Elephas maximus indicus: one gene and its partner. The protein of the gene in region 1 interacts with the protein of each later gene in a biochemical or structural test. Links are inferred from orthologs where the notes say so. Each region holds a gene or a part of one and is shown in the gene's direction. Other genes may lie near its edges. The genes, in order: TOR1AIP2 and TOR1A.

Region 1 (3,923 bases):
CGAGTCGATTCCGACTCATAGTGACCCTATAGGACAGAGTAGAACTGCCCCCTAGAGTTTCCAAGAAGCGCCTGGTGGATTTGAACTGCCGACCTTTTGGTTACAGCCTTAGCACTTAACCACTACGCCACCAGGGTTTCCTCTAAGGGAGGAGTCAGACAAAAATCAAAAATAGTGTGTTGGTCATAAGTGTCATGGCAAAGGAGGCTATTTACTTGGAGAAGTGAGTAGATATCTTCTGTTTTGTCTTGCACTGATGTTCAGAAACTGGAAAACCTGAATTTTAGACTTAATTTACTTTGCCCCTAACCAATCATATGTTCTTGGGCAAATCACTTCCCTTCCTCCAGTTTTCACATTTATAAAATTAATAGGTCAAAATAATACCTCCTTTTTATTGATCATTCACTAATATCATTTAGCAGCTATCGCTCTCTACGTCATCTCATTTACTCACAGCAACCGTATTAGTCAGGTAGTATTGGCCCCACTTGATGCACGAGCAGACTGAGGCTTAGGTTAAGCAACTTGAAAAGACACACCTAGTAATGGCAGAGGCCGGATTCTAAGCCAAGTCTGACTGGTGCTTGTCGTTATCATTTGGTACCGCCTCTCACTGTCATGGTTCTGTGGGTTTTTCCAGCCTATGAATTTCAGATCCTTAAGGGGTCAGGGGCGTCAGACGTCTTGTAGAGATGCCTGGCTTCTGGTCAGGTACCAATCAGCATAAGAATCTTGGGATGTCTGCGGTTCTGTTGTGCGCATTTACCAAGTCTTTAGTTCCAGCGCCCCGCTGGCTGCTGGGGTTTAGGGTGTGGAGGGGAAGAGAGGGGGAAAGAGAAGGGAGGGGAGAGACCGGGAGACTACTAGTCCCAGCATGCCGTGGGCGCCTCCCGGCGGAGGTCGCCGTCACGTGAGCAGGGGACAGGGGACAGGAACGGTATTTAGCGGCTGCGGCCGTGGGGTGTAGCCCAGTGTTGTGGAGCAGGAAGAACACTCGAAGGCTCCCCGCACATTTGACAGTCGACGGTTTAAAACACCTGGAATTTGTAAGTAAACAAAATGCATATTCAACTTTTCTATGTTTTAATATTTGAACGGATACCTTCTCCTTTCAAACGCTCTTTGAGAAACGATCCCTCCCCACCCCCACCACCCTACCGCAAAAACATTAAACGGGGTAGGATGGGGGTATATTTTTGTTTTATAGTAAAAAAGGATAAACAGAATTTTAAAAGTACTAAATAGGATAAGGTGAGTGTATTTTTCTTTTTTTTGGAGAGTAAAATGAGGAGCAGAATTCTTATAAGGTTCAAAGAGTAAATGGGAAATACGAATACTAGTGCAGGTAGTGAGTAATCTTTACCTCCTTGAAAAAAGTGACATGTACCTCACAAGATCCCATCGTTCATCTTAATCCTTTTAAAATAGTTAACTTTTTTTTGTTTTTAAAGCCTTTAAAGAAAAAAACCAAAAGAAGCAAACTGGTTGACATTGAGTTGATTCTAACTCATGGCAACCCTGTATGTGTAGAGTTGTACTCCATATGGCTTTCAAGGTTATGACCTTTCAGAAGTAGATAACAGGCCTGTCTTCTGAGGCCTCTGGGTGGGTTCAAACCGCTATGCTTTCTATTAGTAGTTGACGGCTTACCTCTTTTTACCATCCAGGGACTCCTTTTAAAGCCTTAATGGTGCTAAGAAGCACAAAGTTTGAAGTTTTTGGAAGACCCTACAACTGACTTTTTCCTTAAAACCAAAAAACCAAATGCATTGCCGGCGAGCCCATTCTGACCAATAGCCACCCTATAGGACAGAGTAGAACTGCCCCATAGGGTTTCCAAGAAGCAGCTGGTAGTTTTGAACTGTCGACCTGTAGCTCTTCACCGCTGCTCCACCAGGGCTCATTTACTTACGTACTACATATTTAAAAAAAAAAAAATTGTTATGGAATCAATTCTGACTCAATAGCGATCCAGTGGGTTAGACTAGAACTGCCACATAGCGTTTCCAAGGCTGTAATCTTTACTGGAGCAGACTGCCACGCCTTTCTCCCTCGGATCCACTCCCGGATTCCAACCGCTGACCTTTCGGTTAGCAGCGGAGCACTTAACTACTGTGCCACCAGGGCTCCCATTTTTTATATATGAACCCTACTTTCTATTGTATTTCATACCCAATGAAAAAGTTTACACCTTTTTCTTCTTTCAACCAAGCCTGTAGTCCTCCATACTTTGGCACTATCTACTTTGTCAGCAGTACTTGTTAGACTTTATACTGTTACACTCACATGGATATGAGTTCACTCTGATTGAACATACTGGCTTTGTTTCACTTTTATCTATCCTTAGGTTTAAGAGCAGTTATTTTGGGTCTATATGAGAGATGTTTTCCTTGTCTGTTTTTTAAGAATTAGAAACATGGCAATTATCCATATTTATCTGTTTTATTTTATTTTATAGCACGTGATTAGTATATAAACGGCCAGTGGAAAATCAATTTAATAGAAAAAGGAACTTCATGGTAAGCCACAAAACCAAACCAGTTGCTATAGAGCCCACCCTGACCCACGGCGACCCCAAGTATGGCAGAGTAGAACTTTGCTCCATAGGGTTTTCAAGGTTGTGACCTTTTGGAAGCACGTTGCCAGGCCTGTCTCCCATGGCACCTCTGGGTGCGGGTCGAACTGCCAACTTTTTGGTTAGTAGGTGAGGATTTATGGTCACGTGTTTAACTGTTTATGCCATCCTGGGACTCCAGTATATAAATGGCCAGTGGAAAATCATTAAATAGGAAAAGGAATTTCATGGTAGAGGAACTAAAAATGTCCTTGGAAGCCTTTGTGTGGATCAGAAGAGTTTGAAAAACTGATATTCGCTGTGAAAAAGTGACAGCCCTCAGGAATGTTTATTATGTTGAGTATAGACTCCACAACTTGATTACCGGTTTTGCTGCTGGTTTATCACATAACCTTGGGTGACTCATTTAAGCTCTATTTTTCCTAGTTTCCTATCTAATGTAGAGGTGACAGTATTAGCCTAAAGAGCTTCTATAATTCACAAATAAACCGACTTCAGAATTTAGCTAATTGTTTGAGAATTATTGGATATTTTAATAATTTATTTTGTCTCATATATAATTTATTTTGCCTAAAAAATCATTTCAAATTATATTCTACAAAAATGTATGTTTCTGTAAAGTGCCACCTGAGTTTGCTGAAGGAAGGTTTGCTCAGAATAGCTACACTAAACAAACCTCTTTTAAAGGGAAGGATTCCAAATGTAAAAGCACATAAAGGGATTCTACAAGCTCCAAAAAAAATAACAACTAAAAATGGCCTCTTTTTGTTTTTGAACTTAAGATTTTAGTTGTATTAAAATCTTATTAATATTTCTGTACCTTTCAAACTACTCATTAAACTGCTTGCTACAAGAGAGAATTCAATACGGTGATTATATTTTATCATAAACTTTAAACAGAAAATCAAGCATTTGGGAATAAGGAAGGATGTCCCCAGCGTTGGTTATGAGCATAAACTTTGGAGTCAGGGTTGGGTTTGAATTCCTGTTGTGTCAGTGTGACTTCAAGCTCATTTCTTCACTTACAAAGTGAAGATTCATAGGGTAATTTGGAATATTAAATGGGATAGTTTAAGGACTCAGTAAACGGAAATAGTTATTGCTCTTTGGGCTACTTTTCTCTTCATTACTATAAAAGGAGTTGGCACATGATTTTGGTGGTTGAAACAGAAAGGAAGAGAATTCACCTATAACTCTGCTACCGCAACAAATCAAATTGTTTTCATTTTTATATATTCTCCTTCAGACTTTCACCGTAGGTATACATAATGTAAAAATGTAGTTACCTTTGTGCAAAAAGTCAAATTTAAAACATTGGTTTGTTAACTTCTGAGGGTTTTGTTTC
Region 2 (3,923 bases), on another chromosome or scaffold:
AAAAAAAATTCATTTCTATCACTTTTAGCACTTAATTATTAAATATGAAATGAATCCAACTTTGTTGTTTGTAATATGTTTCTTTAACCAACATTAGGTAATTTTTCAAAGGCCAGGTATTGGGTAGCTCAAATGCAAAACTGAATTACTGAGATAGATTTTCTCATTTAGTTCAAAAGACATGGACATGCTCCACCAATCCAGTGTCCTTTCACTGTCACAAGTACATGGCCACTTGTGCTGTTATTTTTCCTGAGCACTTGCACAGGTTGGGATGAGGAAGGAACAGGTCAGTTGACTTAGGGGCTGATTTAGAGTGGGTGTTGCCTTTAGAGAGGTTTGGCTCTGGAGTCGGTCAGATCTGAGCCCTGTCTTAGCTTACTAATTGTGTCTTTGGACAAACACCTTTCCCGCTGAGGCTCAATTTTGTCGTCTGTAAAATGAAGATTATTTTGTTTTCTCCACTAGAATGCAAGGTCAATGAGGGCAGGAACCCATGTATGCCTCGTTTTTCCTTTGCCTCCTCAGGACCTAGCCCATTGCCTGGTATGCAGGTGGTCCTCAGAAATATGAAAGAATGCATGAGTGAATAATCCTTACCTCCAGCATTGTGAGGATTAGAGATATGTAAAGTGTTTGACTTATAATAGGTGTTCAATACCATTTGTTATTTTTGATGTGCAGTACAGTGAATTACTGAATATGGTCCTTCTAGCCACAGTCTTCGTGATTCCCATACAGTGATTGGGTGGGACTATGCAGATAAGGTGCCTATGGCTCACAAAGGGGATTGGACAGCTTGCTGTTAAGCCAGATAAAATGTACGGAACCTGTGATGGTTAAGGTTGTGTGTCACCTTGGCTGGGCCATGATTTTCAGTGGTTTGGCAGTTATGTAATGATGTAATTTGGCAACCATGTAATGATGTAGCCATCCTCCATTTTTTGTGGTCTGATGTAATTATCCTCCATTTTGTGGTATGTCATAAATCCTAGTCTATGCCTATGGTTATGATCCTATTTGGGAGTGAGTTGACTGTTACGTTAATGAGGCAGGATTAGGGTGAGATGTATCTTGAGTCACCACCTTATGAGAGAGTGTGACTCAAGTCACCACCTTTATTGCCCTTATTCAAGTCATACCCTTGCACTGCCTTGCTCAAGTAAGTGAAGTTTCCTTGAGGGTATAGTCTCCATCCAATATATGAATGCTCTGGCAAAGTTCTCTCTTTTGCTCTGGATCCTGCATCCGGCTTGTCATCATCTGACCTCTGATTCTTGGAACTTGGACCAGCAGCCTATCTGACCTGATTGGCCAGCTTCCACAGCCTGTAAGCCAACGGCCTGTCATCTGACCTGCTGATTTGGGTTTGTCAGCCCCTGCAAACCATGTGAGTCAGGAGAAGCCTCCAGCCTGACACCAGACCCACGGATTTGGGAACTGCCAGCCTCCACAACCATGTGAGCCATTTCCTTGACAGTTCGTGAGTTCTGTGAGACATAGCAGCAAATTACAGAATTCAGAAATGGGAGGGAGAGTACTGAGGGGAGGGGAAATAGTTGATTTTAGAGATGATGGAGTGGTACAGCAGTTTGGAAAAGTTAGACATTTGGGACATCTTTAACCTCTGCCTCATAGGAACCAGCTTTGTGCTGATCCTTATAAAAGAAATTATTCATTCACGATGTCAAAAAGTTGAACCTTAAAAATATTTCAACAAATGTTTTTCAGGTCCCTATGATGGTGCAGGGGTAACCAAGATGAATACTGAGGACCTAGCATATTCCCTGGCACACAACAAATATTTACTGAATGGAATGGATGGGTGAGTAGGTGAATGACACTGCTTGCCAGAGTAAGTGTAGCCTTTTGCCTGTTCTAAAAGTGGCCACCAGATGGCGAGAGCCAGGTTTTTCACTGTTGAAATAAGAATTTACAGATAAGCAAAGACAGGAGGCTCCTATGATCCCTATGGTGATGGATTAGAGTTAGAAACATCAGTACAAACTCATGTTTAGCATAATATACAGATAGTTACGTGTAGAAGTATTTATAAGTATGTGTATGCACATGGGTTAAAGTACACACATATATTTCTTTGCTCTGTCAGCTGAGAGGGCCTAAAATTAATGATTCCCCGGTATCAGCTAGCACACCTACTACCCAGATCTTGGTTACTAATACCCAAACCTGTTGCTGTCGGGTCGATTCCAACTCATAGCGACCCTATAGGACAGAGTAGAACTGCCCTGTAGGGTTTCCAAGGAGCAGCTGGTAGATTGAAACTGCTGACCTTTTGGTTAGCAGTCATGTCTCTTAACCACTGTGCCACCAGGGCTGCTTTCTAACACCATTCTCCAGTAAATGGGACTAGAGTTCCTATAAGAAATTGCTGTTTCTAGGACTGGGGTAGGAAATATACAAGATGAGCCCATGGCATCTTGTAGTGCCAGAAGGTAAAGAAGTGCTAAAAACAAAACAAATGAACAACAATAACAAAAAACCACACACTACCAGATCAGTAGGGGTATGTCAAAGGGACACAGGAGTCAACTAAAAGAACTGCCAATGGCCAAAGCTGGAACAACTTGAGTAACAAATAGACTATAATCCAAAGTATAAATATCCATCAGTCCATATGATACAAATGATTGAACAAATAAATGGGGGGAATGAGACAAATATCCCATGCAGAGGAATTCCGAATAATTTATGTGGATTCTTCACCCACAAGGAGGAGAAGCATAACTCCCCACTCGTTAAGTGTGGGCCTGAGCATAGTAACTTTCTTCCCAAGAATACAGTATGGAAAGAGGGGGGTTAACTTTACCGCAGAGAAATCTGACAAACACTACCTCAGTGAGGTGATCAAGACCAACGTTAACAGTTGATACATCGTGTTAAGAGTATATACTCTTGATACGACACTTTACCTCTGTGATCTTCACCAAAACCCATAATCCCTGTCTAATGAGAAAAACATGAGACAAATCCCAACTGAGGGACATTCTACAAAATACCTAACCAGTACTCCTCAAAACTGTTGAGGTCTTCAAAAACAAGAAAAGTCTGAGACCCTGAGGGACTGAAATACTGGGGTGAGGGCTGCGGACCATGATCTCGGGGGACATCTAGCTCAACTGGTATAACAGTTTATAAAGAAAATGTTCTACATCTTACTTTGGTGAGTAGCATCTGGGGCTTTAAAAGCTTGTGAGCAGCCATCTAAGATGCTCCACTGGTCCCACCCTGTCCAGAGCAAATGAGGATGAAGAAGACCAAAGACAAGAGAAAGATTAGTCCAAAGGACTAAGGGACCACAACTACCACAGCCTCCAGCAGTCTGAGTCCAGCACAACTAGATGGTACCCAGCTACCACCATCAACTGCTCTGACAGGGATCACAATAGATGTTCCTGGACAGATCGGGGGGAAAAAATGCAGAACAAAATTCTAACTAAAAAAAAAGACCAGACTTATTGGTCTGACAGAGGCTGGAGAAACCCTGAGAGTATAGCCCCTGACACCCTTTTAACTCCATACGGAAGTCACCCCGAGGTTCACCCTTTAGTGAGATTAGATATGCCCATAAAACAAGCAATAAAATATGTAGCTCAACCACATACACGAGACTAAATGGGCACACCAGCCCAGGGGCAAGGAAAAGAAGGCAGGGGACAGGAAAGCTGGACAAATGTAAATTGGGAACCCAAGGTCAAGAAGTGGAGTGTGTTGACACAGGGTTGGCAACCAATGTCACAGAACAATATGTGTATTAATTGTTTAATGAGAAACTGATTTGCTCTGTAAACCATCTAAAGCACTATTAAAAAAAAAAAAATGTCTGAGAAACTGTCACAACCAAAAAGAGCCTAAAGAGACATAATAACTAAATGTCAGGTGGTATCCTGGATGCGATCCTG

Evidence for each region.
Region 2: the proteins of TOR1AIP2 (region 1) and TOR1A form a complex in vitro, tested with the Homo sapiens proteins (4 studies listed by BioGRID and IntAct, with this or other methods). The link is inferred for Elephas maximus indicus from reciprocal best matches to the Homo sapiens genes TOR1AIP2 and TOR1A.

Annotation. Positions count from the first base shown.
Region 1 is NC_064842.1:42,817,251-42,821,173, reverse strand, and holds the start of TOR1AIP2 (torsin-1A-interacting protein 2), read left to right. Parts: upstream 1-900; 5' UTR 901-1,049; intron 1,050-2,461; exon of another isoform or gene 2,462-2,522; intron 2,523-3,923. UniProt on the Homo sapiens protein: Required for endoplasmic reticulum integrity. Regulates the distribution of TOR1A between the endoplasmic reticulum and the nuclear envelope as well as induces TOR1A, TOR1B and TOR3A ATPase activity.
Region 2 is NC_064827.1:80,756,234-80,760,156, reverse strand, and holds the start of TOR1A (torsin-1A), read left to right. Parts: upstream 1-1,085; 5' UTR 1,086-1,460; intron 1,461-1,710; exon of another isoform or gene 1,711-1,731; 5' UTR 1,732-3,923. UniProt on the Homo sapiens protein: Protein with chaperone functions important for the control of protein folding, processing, stability and localization as well as for the reduction of misfolded protein aggregates.